Drosophila melanogaster: one gene and its partner. The protein of the gene in region 1 interacts with the protein of each later gene in a biochemical or structural test. Each region holds a gene or a part of one and is shown on either strand. Other genes may lie near its edges. The genes, in order: EndoA and Lrrk.

What was found.
Region 2: of the proteins of EndoA (region 1) and Lrrk, one has a biochemical effect on the other in vitro, tested with the Drosophila melanogaster proteins (one study listed by BioGRID).

Annotation. Positions count from the first base shown.
Region 1 is NT_033777.3:18,904,701-18,911,328, forward strand, and holds EndoA (endophilin A), read left to right. Parts: upstream 1-1,908; 5' UTR 1,909-2,320; exon of another isoform or gene 2,321-2,499; 5' UTR 2,500-2,566; coding exon 2,567-3,676; 3' UTR 3,677-3,750; exon of another isoform or gene 3,751-3,805; 3' UTR 3,806-6,055; downstream 6,056-6,628. Other genes in the region: CG14292 (uncharacterized protein), read right to left, coding at 325-777, 853-906; Sgsh (N-sulfoglucosamine sulfohydrolase), read right to left, coding at 6,560-6,628. UniProt on the Drosophila melanogaster protein: Required presynaptically at the neuromuscular junction. Implicated in synaptic vesicle endocytosis.
Region 2 is NT_033777.3:20,633,582-20,638,739, forward strand, and holds the start of Lrrk (Leucine-rich repeat kinase), read left to right. Parts: upstream 1-1,898; 5' UTR 1,899-2,056; coding exon 2,057-2,075; intron 2,076-2,234; coding exon 2,235-2,507; intron 2,508-2,517; exon of another isoform or gene 2,518-2,606; coding exon of another isoform or gene 2,607-2,694; intron 2,695-2,759; coding exon 2,760-2,919; intron 2,920-2,981; coding exon 2,982-4,241; intron 4,242-4,297; coding exon 4,298-5,158.

The DNA of each region.
Region 1 (6,628 bases):
ACGTGAGCAGCCAAGTATTTGCGCCCCGAAAAGCGTCAAGAAGGCAAACGCCAAAATTTGTAATTCCCGATGGGAAATTTAATAAAGCAGCGGAATGCAAAGCTCGGCCGGCCACATCAAAGCATGTCCTAGGTCAGGAGTCCTTTGGCCTCCCCCCCCCTCCCCCCCTTACCACACACACACACACACACACCTTTGCACCCCTTAAACCAGCATAGGAAATTCCGGCATTAGGCTTATTTAAATTTTATTGCATCTATGTTGGTCGATTGCTAAGCTAGGAAGTATTGGACACTAAGGCAGCCGGAGGACAGGACTAGAATCCTAGGCAGCAGCTGCTCCTGTGGGACTGGCGGTGGCGGCCAAACGGGCCTGCCACTCGTCATCGATGGCCTTCAGCTGGTTCTTGGCCGTGGTCAGCAGAGGCTTGACACAGCGTATCTGCAGCCAGGGCAAAGTGGCGTTGTTGCAGCCACTGATCGACTCCTCCGAGGTGGCCACCACATCCAGGACGCGCTCCGCCAGGTCGGCGGGAAAGTCAGGCTGGGAGAGCAGACGCTCGGCTTCGCGTTGCAGGACTATCGACTGGAAGAATGAGGAAATCGAGGCGCCTCCAAAGGGAGCAGACGGTGCCACGGGAGCGGCTACACCGGCGGCAGCTCCTGTGCCAGCACCTCCGAAAATTCCATTTAGGAAGGGATTAAAGGCAGCCGCATACGGATTGGCGGCGGCAAAGGGATTTCCGGCAAGGGGATTTCCAACAGTAGCTCCAGGGCCCTTACGAGTAAATTATGATAATTCGGTTACATAATAATCCACTTAATGGGGGGGCCCATATCCACAACTCCTCACCTGTGCACTGATGCAGGCAATGCTGGCCGCCAGTAGAACAATTGCGAATTTCATTTCTTTTAATTTATCTGAGTTCACTTGGTTCTCAGTCGTTGGGTTTCGTCTAGACTAATTGCCAAAAGCACAACGGCTTGCGGCTTTTATACGCCATTAAAAACACGGCAGGGAGATCTTATCTCTGATATCTCAACTATTACTACTGCGATTGAACTGATTTACATGTTCATTGTTTGTTCGGTGGTGCTAAGTACCTCTCGGGGGTTATCTGTTCAGATAGAGCCAGAATATATAAAAAAAAAAAAGGTGGTAAAATTGCTACTTCATGCTGTGAACGTCACTGGTTTTTACGATGCAAATGGGGTTTAATTTTTGCCTGGGATATATTTGCCACCTTCTAGAAAGATAAAATTGACTGCTGTGCTACTGGTTATTTTGCGCACAGTTATTTTGGTAAACAGGATAAACATGATATTTTCTTATCCATTCTGAGTCATTCCATTTTTATCTTAGCGTAACATTCATCAGCAGTTATACAGCTTTATTTTTGCTGAGTACGTTTTCTATCAATATAATATATTTATGTATTGTAATGTTAGAATTTTACGCGCCAAACTGTTATTCTAATCTAACAGCTATTCGATTAACAGCATGTACAAGGACAGAGCAAATACAGAGACCGACAGTGGGACCGACCATATTTATTCTAGTCTAATAATTCTGCCAATCAACATAGATTTCAAATTCAAATTTATAATGCATTAACATTATAAGTATTAGATATTAAATGTAAGATATTATGTTAACTGTTTATGTGCTTCTGGCTTCTTAATATAAAATATATATATTACTTTAATTTTTAATATTGTTTTGATATATATATATAACTATCTAATACCCCCCTGCAAAGAAATTAAATGAAAATGTTAAGTTGTACCTCACATCTTTAACATATGCCTAGAGATGAGCGTATCCCGTGTATGTCCGTTGTTGTATGCGAATGATTTTGGTATTTTACGAACCACCGGTCACACTGAATGTTTTTTAACAGAATTATCGATAGTCCCGCAGCTCCAGTGGCTTAGTGCCGTTGAAAATTGTTGTACACAGTCAAGATATTGATTTTTGCGAGCCGAGAGGAAAACGCGACCCCACAGCCCCCGCCCCCTGTGCGCGACCAGTAGTAGTAGTAACGACTCACGGTCCTTCAAACATTACGCAGCCCAAGGTTCTGGAAAAAATCGAAGATTACGAGCAGAGCAACAAAAAAAAAAACGGGGCAGAACGTGCAGAGCAAGCGAAGCGAGTGAAAGTGCCCGCAGTAGTGGTCAGCAAAAGTAGAACTCGAACTCGGGCTACAGTTCACCAAGCCAATTCGAGTTTCCCGACTCGCAGCCTCCACTGAGCGAGCAGAAGAGCCCCGGAAAGTAGCACCCCCAGCGGAGAAGGAACGGAGAAAAGTGCAGTACGCGTAAGTCTTCCAAACGTAAACGTTTTAAAAATAGACACACTCAGCCAGCCAGCCAGCCAGCCAGGCAGTCGGGCAGTCAGTGAGGCAGCCATCCAGTCCATTGATGAAATTGTTGACTTGATGATATTGACATTGAATTTGAAATCGAGTCTCGACTAACCCAACCAACCCGTTCACAGCAACTGCGTCGAGCGCCCCAAGACCAATTTAATCAGAGGAAGAAAACCAGAAGAGACAGCAGCAGCCATGGCTTTCGCCGGACTCAAAAAGCAGATCAACAAGGCCAACCAGTATATGACGGAGAAGATGGGCGGTGCCGAGGGCACCAAACTGGACATGGACTTCATGGAGATGGAACGCAAGACGGACGTCACCGTGGAGCTAGTGGAGGAGCTGCAGCTAAAGACGAAGGAGTTCCTGCAGCCGAATCCAACGGCACGGGCCAAAATGGCAGCGGTCAAGGGCATCTCGAAGCTGTCCGGACAGGCCAAGTCCAATACGTATCCGCAACCGGAGGGCCTGCTCGCGGAATGCATGCTGACTTATGGGAAGAAGCTCGGCGAGGACAACAGCGTGTTCGCGCAGGCGCTCGTCGAATTCGGCGAAGCGCTGAAACAGATGGCCGACGTCAAGTATTCGCTGGACGACAACATCAAGCAGAACTTTTTGGAGCCACTGCATCATATGCAGACCAAAGACCTCAAGGAGGTAATGCATCATCGCAAGAAGCTGCAGGGCCGGCGGCTAGACTTTGACTGCAAGCGTCGCCGACAGGCCAAGGACGATGAGATTCGTGGTGCCGAGGACAAGTTCGGTGAATCGCTCCAGCTGGCCCAGGTGGGCATGTTCAATTTGCTCGAGAACGATACGGAGCATGTCTCCCAGCTGGTCACCTTTGCCGAGGCACTATACGATTTTCATTCGCAATGCGCGGATGTCCTTCGAGGCCTGCAGGAGACACTGCAGGAGAAGCGCTCCGAGGCGGAGAGCCGGCCACGCAACGAGTTCGTGCCCAAGACGCTGCTCGATCTGAACTTGGACGGCGGTGGCGGCGGCCTCAACGAAGATGGCACGCCGTCTCACATTAGTTCGAGCGCCTCGCCGTTGCCCTCGCCGATGCGTTCGCCCGCCAAGTCGATGGCCGTAACGCCGCAGCGCCAGCAGCAGCCCTGCTGCCAGGCCCTCTACGACTTCGAGCCGGAGAATCCCGGCGAACTGGCCTTCAAGGAGAACGACATTATCACCCTGTTGAATCGCGTCGACGACAATTGGTTCGAGGGCGCGGTGAATGGCCGCACCGGTTACTTCCCGCAGTCGTATGTTCAGGTGCAGGTGCCCCTGCCCAATGGCAACTAGGCTATTCCTCATCCTGTTCCTCGTATTAATCCCGATCCCTAAACCAATCCCATCCTATCAAACTGGCTGAAGACGTACGTAGATCGCTGATTGGAGAACAATAACCTTAATTGTTGGTTTCGCCACCAGAGGCGCGAAATTGGGCAGCCCAAGCCGATGCAGAAGCAGGAGCAGCAGAAGCAGCAGCAGCAGCACATAAATGCAAATATATATATATAGTTGAATTAGATGAGCGGGTTACTACGATTACGGATATTACGATACGGCTTAGCTAGCAGCACACAGCAGGCTAAATTCATGGTGGCCATAGAGCAAGCTAACTAAATTTTATGTGCAAAATTATACCAGTTGGCAACACAATAATTAACAAATTAACTACGAGTTAAATTAATGTACGTATTAACTAACTAAATTTACAAGACGTTACGCGCGCAATGCCACTTCCTTGCGTTTTTACCTTTGATTCTCAAACGTCAGCTTTGTTGTTCGTTGCAAGTTGCGAACATTTAGTACTACTTCACACAATAGATCGATCACGTATTAGAACAGTTGGTCCGGCGGCAGAAGCAAACAGAAAAACACTCTAGCTAATTAACTAAATTACCCGTGTAATCTTAATCACGCCCATGGAGGCGCGTCTCTTTTGTCTTTCCACCTGAGTTCTTCTAGCCTCCAGTTTTCGGAGGTCTTTTTATCCGGTCTCATCGTTGTAATTTAAACCAACCTACGCCAATGCGCTCTCTATGCAAATGTCCCTTTATAGGCTAAAGCTACGTATCCACACCATACGCCCGCCCACATGCATATACATATTTATTATATACCCGAAAATACCTACATATACCTACTCTACCTACGTATATTTGTGCAAAAACAATACTCCCCACACTCTATTCTAAAAGGCATACGGAATACCGTTCTTGATGTTCGTTGTTCAATGTAAAGAATAATTCAATTCAATTTTTCGAGGATGAAACAAGCGAAATTTGTATCCTACTTTTTGCTCCTTTTTATGTGTGTTGTTTTTTTTGTTTGTTAATTATATACATAACAACTATATATATATATATTAAATGAAATCAAATATATGTATAAATATATTTATTAAGCGTATTATCTACATGTATATTTATTATTATGTATTTATTATAAATTATACTGAGCAGCAACGTAAACAATATAATGAATATTTAAACGATGATAACAGATAAAAAGTACTAGCGGCAAGTAAATGTAACAGAATCCTCCTAAACAATACCAACCAACAAGCATAATACTAGTTAAACGATTTCCACAAAAATGTTGATAATAATAACTTTAAACGTAAGCAAAATCCAGTCAAGTCAATCGAAGCATAGCAACACTTACGAACCTACTAACGCGTTTACCAACCGCAACTCTAGATCAAATATTTATATATTTAACGAGATAATAATAAACATTCGACGGCAAACCGATAAAATGATTCAAAATAGTCTCATGTTGGCATACAGCTATGCACGATATACATACGAATGTATATACATATATATACTCGTACGTTTAGGAATGATATACACAAGATACATATATATTTACGTATGAAGAAAACCATTGAATTGAAAGCCATGCAACTTGTGTTGATAATAAATTTGTTAAATGCCAAGAAAACATTTAACAGAATTATATATTCGAGTGCGAAGATGAAACATTTGCCTCGTGGACGGACAGACTGCCAGTGCGAACATTTCCAGAGGATACCCCATCTGGGGAGGATCCACCCATCGCCTGGAGACTATCTTTCCACGCGATACACACTTGCCCCACGTGCAGCGGGGCCCGAACTTCAAACAATAATTATTGTAATTTTGCATTTTTGTGTGGGCGGTAACTTGAATAATATATATTACAAGGCATATACATAATAATAATAACTATGCTAAAACTGAAGACCCTAATTTATGCAAACCAAAATTAATAAAATTTAATTTTTAATGTGTCTTTCGTTCAAAGTCATAACTGAGAAACAACAAAAAAAAAAACAAGCAAACGTCGTTTACTCTTTGATATTTCCCATCTGACCTTAAAACCATAAAACGTGCTGCCTGTTGTGTAACACAGAGACTCGAATGCTGCTGGGAATGGGTGGTGGTGGGCGATGTGGGAATCCGGAGGCGCCACCAATAAACTACAACAGAAGCATTGAAATTTTCGATTTTCCACACACAGACACAGGCAGCCGCCAGCACACCCTCCCCTCCCCTATCCCACTGACCCAGTGGGCATGACATTGAAACGTGACGCAGCATCCAACCCCTGATGCCCACGCCTCCAGTCCAAAAAGTGGGTGAGGTCATGCTGCCAGGACACGAGTGTTTGCCAGTCTGGGCTGATGCAACCAATTCAGTCAGTGGGGGAATCTTCAGTCTTCTTTCTTTGCCAATTCTGTTGGCTATTTTTTTGGCATTGCGCAGGTGAAAATCAAGGCAATATATTTTTATCTGTTTGTTTGTAAAAAGCAATTAAAGTTTTCCCTTAATGTAAACTTGGAAATTTGTTCAAAGAACATACATATGTACATACTCTAAACAAATGCTTAATTCTTATGATTACCATTGCTTTTGAAAACATTGATCTTTTTATTAGCCATGCTTAAAGATTAGCAGCTCGCTTCAAAGTTAAACAAAGTTTATTATTGAAAGTATTGTATGTTACTTTTTTTTTATTATTTTAATAAGAATATACATTAATATAATATTATCATTTCTACCTTTTGCAATTCCTATTTGTATGACCGCAACTGTAACGGCATGTGAAGTGAAAAACATTGGCATGGTTGAGTTATCAACCATTGGACATGCGATAAGACAACACACCCAATCTATTGAATACTCTTAGTCAGACCTACGAGAAGACCACATACTCCTCATACTGACCGAGAATCCTGCGCTTGGGCCGCTGCAACGCCTCGTG
Region 2 (5,158 bases), 1.7 Mb from region 1:
AGCTCCTCCTAATTAGACTTTTCAATGGCCTCTTTCAGGCTACGGAGGCTAGTTGTCCCGCATTTCGCTGGTTACCTTATCAACAGATTGTTGTTTTCAAAGTTTTCCATTTAAATCAGCACGCCAATCTCTCTGCGAATAAATAAGAAGGTGGCGCCGGGTTACTTGAAAGAAAACATATGGCGATATATGTACCGATAATTGTTTTGGTGTCGAATTACGGAAATTACTAAAAATCAACCGCCCACCCGTTGATAAGAAGGCGACCCCTTCCCTTGGCTTTGCCCTCGAGATGATCAGAGATCTGGATAACATCCATTGATGCACTGTAAAACTGAGTTGGTTCTAACCGCCCTTTACCACATGGGATAAAATAGAAAAGCAGCCTCTAAAATCGTCGGTTCTTGTTAATTAAAACAAAAACGCTGACTTTTATTTAGTATGAATCACACAGTCATAAGTTGTTGGCTGGGGGTGGGAGGGGTCAACTTGAAAACAAAAACAAGAATTCAGGGTCAGCCAAGGCGACCTATGAATGCCCTTACGTGTTTTTTTTTGCAATTTTAGGCAGTTGAATGACTGAAGTAAGCAGGATTTATAACGAATTCGATATGGCCGTTGAAAGAAAAGTTTCCATAATGAAAATCTAAGCCATTAAGGCATATTTCAGAGCCAAATGTTCAAATTCCGTGACCGAACGGGTGGAGTTGATACCGCGGAAAGGGTATAAAAAAGTTACGCGGCACCGATGTCTCATCTCTAAGTCGCGATGCCACAAAAATGGAAATTGCAGACAGTCAGAAAAGTCTTGAAAAGCACACGGATTGGCAAGTTTTCATCGAAGTTTCACTTGCATTGTGGCGCAGCTCGTTTGTTTTTGTTTTTTGCTTCCATTTTGGCCAGCCCTCGCCTTTATAGCGATTTTTTTTTGGGTGTGAGCTGCGCAGTTTACGCTGCTCCTTACTTGATTCTCTGCACCGGCACCTTCAGTTGGCCTCTGTCGGCCATTCCGCGGTATTGTTATTTTTCAAACGCACCGTGCAATCGGCTCAAATTTGTGTTCGATTAAGGAATATTAAATTGTTTTTATTTGTATTGTTGAGATCGTGCTGTTAAGCGTCTGTTAACGAACACAGGGTGACTCCTGTTGAACACAGGGCGTTCTAGGCTGGCGCTGGTTAATATCGATAGTGTTTCATTCGATTGTTATATCGATATAGGTTACAGTTGGCATCAGTATTTATAAAATATACACAAATACACGGTGCTAATAAATTCTTGTTCGTAAACAGTCATAACAGGAAATTGCATGTTAAAAAAAAAATAAATAAAAATAATTAACAGTTCCTAAGAATCAAATTCTTTTAGATAAAATCATAGCATACAAAATAAAATTCAACAAAAAGTAACAGTCGATAGTGATTCACTGCTTAACTGATTTAAATAATATCGATATTACTGTTGTTGAGTTGACAAGCAGTGCAAAGTAACAGAAACGATGACCACCTTATCGCGTTTTGGTATTTATATATGTATGCTATCAGAAATGAGATATTTCAGCATCAGTTGGGATTTCAAATATTTCACTTGGGAACAAATTTTTAGATGTGTATGAATAAAAATAATAAATGCGTCTTCCAAATACTTGTTCGGCCTTGTTAAATTAATTTTAATTTATAAATTTAAGCCAATGGACATAAAAATCAATGATTTTGGGTAGATTATGATTTAGTTATTAAGCTGGCTTTAATCTTTGGAGAAAAGTACGAAGCCCCCTGCGTGCGACACTGATTAACAGCATTCACTTGCGATATTTCGGTCACACAGAGCGCTTAACAGCATATCGTGCCAAAATGAGGAGATATATTCTAAAACAGTAAGAGGTTACACTGTTTGTTGACAAAAAGGTAAACAAAGTGAAAATTTCGCAAAATGTGCAAAATAATTAAGTAAGGGTCAGTAAAAGGTGCTACTGGTTAATCGGACCATAACAACTACCCATTTAACACATACCATGCATGACTTGGATATCTCGTGAAGTACACAAACCAAAACAATGAGCGACTCCGACGAAGGTGAGATAACACAACTTTTAGTGAAATTATGCACAATATGCTAGTTTTGCGCAAATTTAGTCAGAGTGCAAATGAGCATTATACGCTTGACTATGCAAATTACCTAAGTGGTGCAATTAAAACTTCAACCAGTTGTTATTGGTTTTTCAACAACACCAGCAAGGGCACAGGGTGACATTGGTGCAATGGAAGTGGGCGCGCAAAAACTTTTTTCAAACAGCCACCCCCCACAGAAGCAACTGGTGCAACCACTGGACCATCCGACACCCACGAAGAGACAAATCAAAACAAATGCCACGCACTCACCCAATGCCACATTCTTGAACAAGTGCAACAGTTGCCGCGCTTCTTGGGCTCCGACTTGCGCAGTGCGACATAAAACGGCCTGGATCAATGACCACAAAAACGTGGCCATCGATTTTCCGCAGTTCAGTTTTTGCTAGCGGCGCGTTCGGTCATCATACCGATGCCAATTAATTTTTGGGGCTTATTCGCACCGATTTGGGTTACATAATGTCATGGAAATTCAGCATGGAACATCCCAAAACTGGAACTGAAACAGCTCTGGAAGCCTGTGACTACTTCGTGGATGAGGTCATTGAGGCATCCTCAATACGGGGTGGGAATTGGTTTATTCCAAAGGTGCTGTGTATTAGTTAACCAAGCAAAACTTATCTTTCACAGATGCCCGCGAGGAAGTGCGTCAGATCAAGCACGGGGAGCTGCGAACGGCAGTGATCTCTGGCGATGAGCGGACTGTGCGGGTGCTGCTGGCAGCTCTTGGAACTGAGCGTCAGATTATAGTCAATATGGCTCCTTCAGGAGCAAACACCCTTCTATTCCTGTGAGAAAAAGTCTTTTAGAATTAGTCCATTTTGAGCCAAACTAATATCGGTCTCGTTTTAGAGCCTGCCAGTCTGGTTACGAGAGCATTACACAGCGATTGCTGGATGCTGGAGCGGATGGTCGCTCCCATGCCGTGACCAAGTACTCACCCTTGTACGCCGCCGTCCATAGCGGTCACTTGGGCATTGCCCGACTGATGCTAGACCATTTTCCAGAACTGATCCAGCAGCCGACTGTAGAGCGCTGGCTGCCGCTGCACGCCGCCTGCATCAATGGACACATCAAGCTGCTGGAACTCCTTATCAGCTACAGTTATCCCGACTACCTCTACCAGACATATCGCGACGAGGAGGGCCAGTGGGAATGGCGGCTCCCCTTCGACGCTAACGCTCATGATGTGACGGGTCAGACGAGTCTGTATATTGCCAGCATCCTAGGAAACAAGCAGCTGGTTGGTGTGCTTCTAAAGTGGCAGCTCCATTGCCGGCGTACGTTGGGCGATTCCGCCAGCTCGGTGAGCACTCCTATTACGCCCACCAGGAAACGTATTTCATTTGGCATTCAGGCTATCATGTCCAAACTGCACATATCTGGAGAGTCAGAAGGACCCGACGACCTAGCTTCACAAGAGTCAACCGAGTGCCAACGGTGTCCCATTAACGTGAATCTGCTATGTGGAGCGGCGAGAGAAACAGCTCTGCTTGCGGCCGTTCGAGGCGGCCACCTAGACGTGGTGCAGTCTCTGCTACAGCACGGCGCAAATCCGAATATTGTAGCCAAGCCAGTTGAGGATCACAACGACCCGAAATGTTGCGAGGAAATATATGGGCTCAGTAATGTCCCCATTGCAGAGGCCTGCAAGCAAAGGTCGCTGGCTATGTTGGATCTCTTGCTTAAGCATGGAGCCCGCGACGATAATGGCACGGCCATTGGAATGGCTATTACATGCGGCGACGAGGCCATCCTGAGTCGTCTTTTGGCCCGACGAGTCCATCCGGACTCAGACTACAAGATCAACAAGAAGGGTCTTCCCACACCAGTGGAGGTGAACGTGTTTTTGCCGTCCACCAGCAACATATCTTACAGTGCTATGTTCCCCAACAATCCAACCATTATTGACTGGCACAGCATGGGCTCCAGTGTCCAGTTGTCTGTTGTAAGGGTTCCCTGGATGGTCAGCGGTGTGTTGCTGCTGAATCCTAAGCTACAGTCGCATCCGCGACTTAATGAGGTTGCTCTGACAGCTATCACGCGAATAGATTTCTCGCACAACGTTCTCACGTCAATTCCACAGGAGCTTTTCCATTTGGTTAGCCTAAGGTTAGTAAAGACAAAGTAATAAGTTTTTCAAGAATTATATTAGTCCTTCATTTAAGGTATTTAAATGTGGCGCAAAACAAGATAACCGATCTACCTGCACCAATAGGCCAGACATATGGGTGTCCGGTACTGGATGAACTCTTTCTACAAGACAACCAGTTAACTACGCTGCCAGCCGCCATCTTTCACCTGCCCGCCCTATCTATATTGGATGTTTCAAATAACAAACTGCAACAGCTTCCCTTCGACCTGTGGCGTGCACCCAAGTTGCGCGAACTTAATGTGGCCTTCAACCTATTGCGGGATCTTCCTGTGCCGCCAATGCAAACTAGCAGTTCGCTGCTGAGCCTAGACAAATTGAATCTGCAATCTTTTGAGGAGCCGCCATCAAACAAACCGCGAAATGTGACTCAGCAACGTCTCACCCATCGCAATCTATGGTCGGCTACTTTGGACATAACCGATAATGACATGAAGTGGCAGCATGAACAAGATTTAGGCGATGGAAAGACAGCTGGTGTGGGCTCCTCCCAGCTAAGTAGCTTAAATATAGCAAATAACCTCTTCACCAGTATCCCCGCTGCTTTGCCCTGTCTGGCTGTAAACCTAACACGGCTGAATATGTCATACAACAGTCTGCGTTCTATGGGACATGTAACCAGTTACCCGGCAACACTTAAGCAGTTGGATCTAAGTCACAACGAGATATCCTGCTGGCCAAGTTTACCGCGAATTACTGAATCGGATCCGCATCTACTGTGCTACAGTTGTGTCCAGCTACCAGAGGGTCGAGATGACGACTACAAGACGGCCTCCTCAAAGGGCAGTAGCTCGTCTGCCACATCGTTTCGCGCTTCGGTGTTAAAAAGTGTTTGTCGGCACAGGCGTCATCTGCGCCTGGAGGCTCTACGCACATT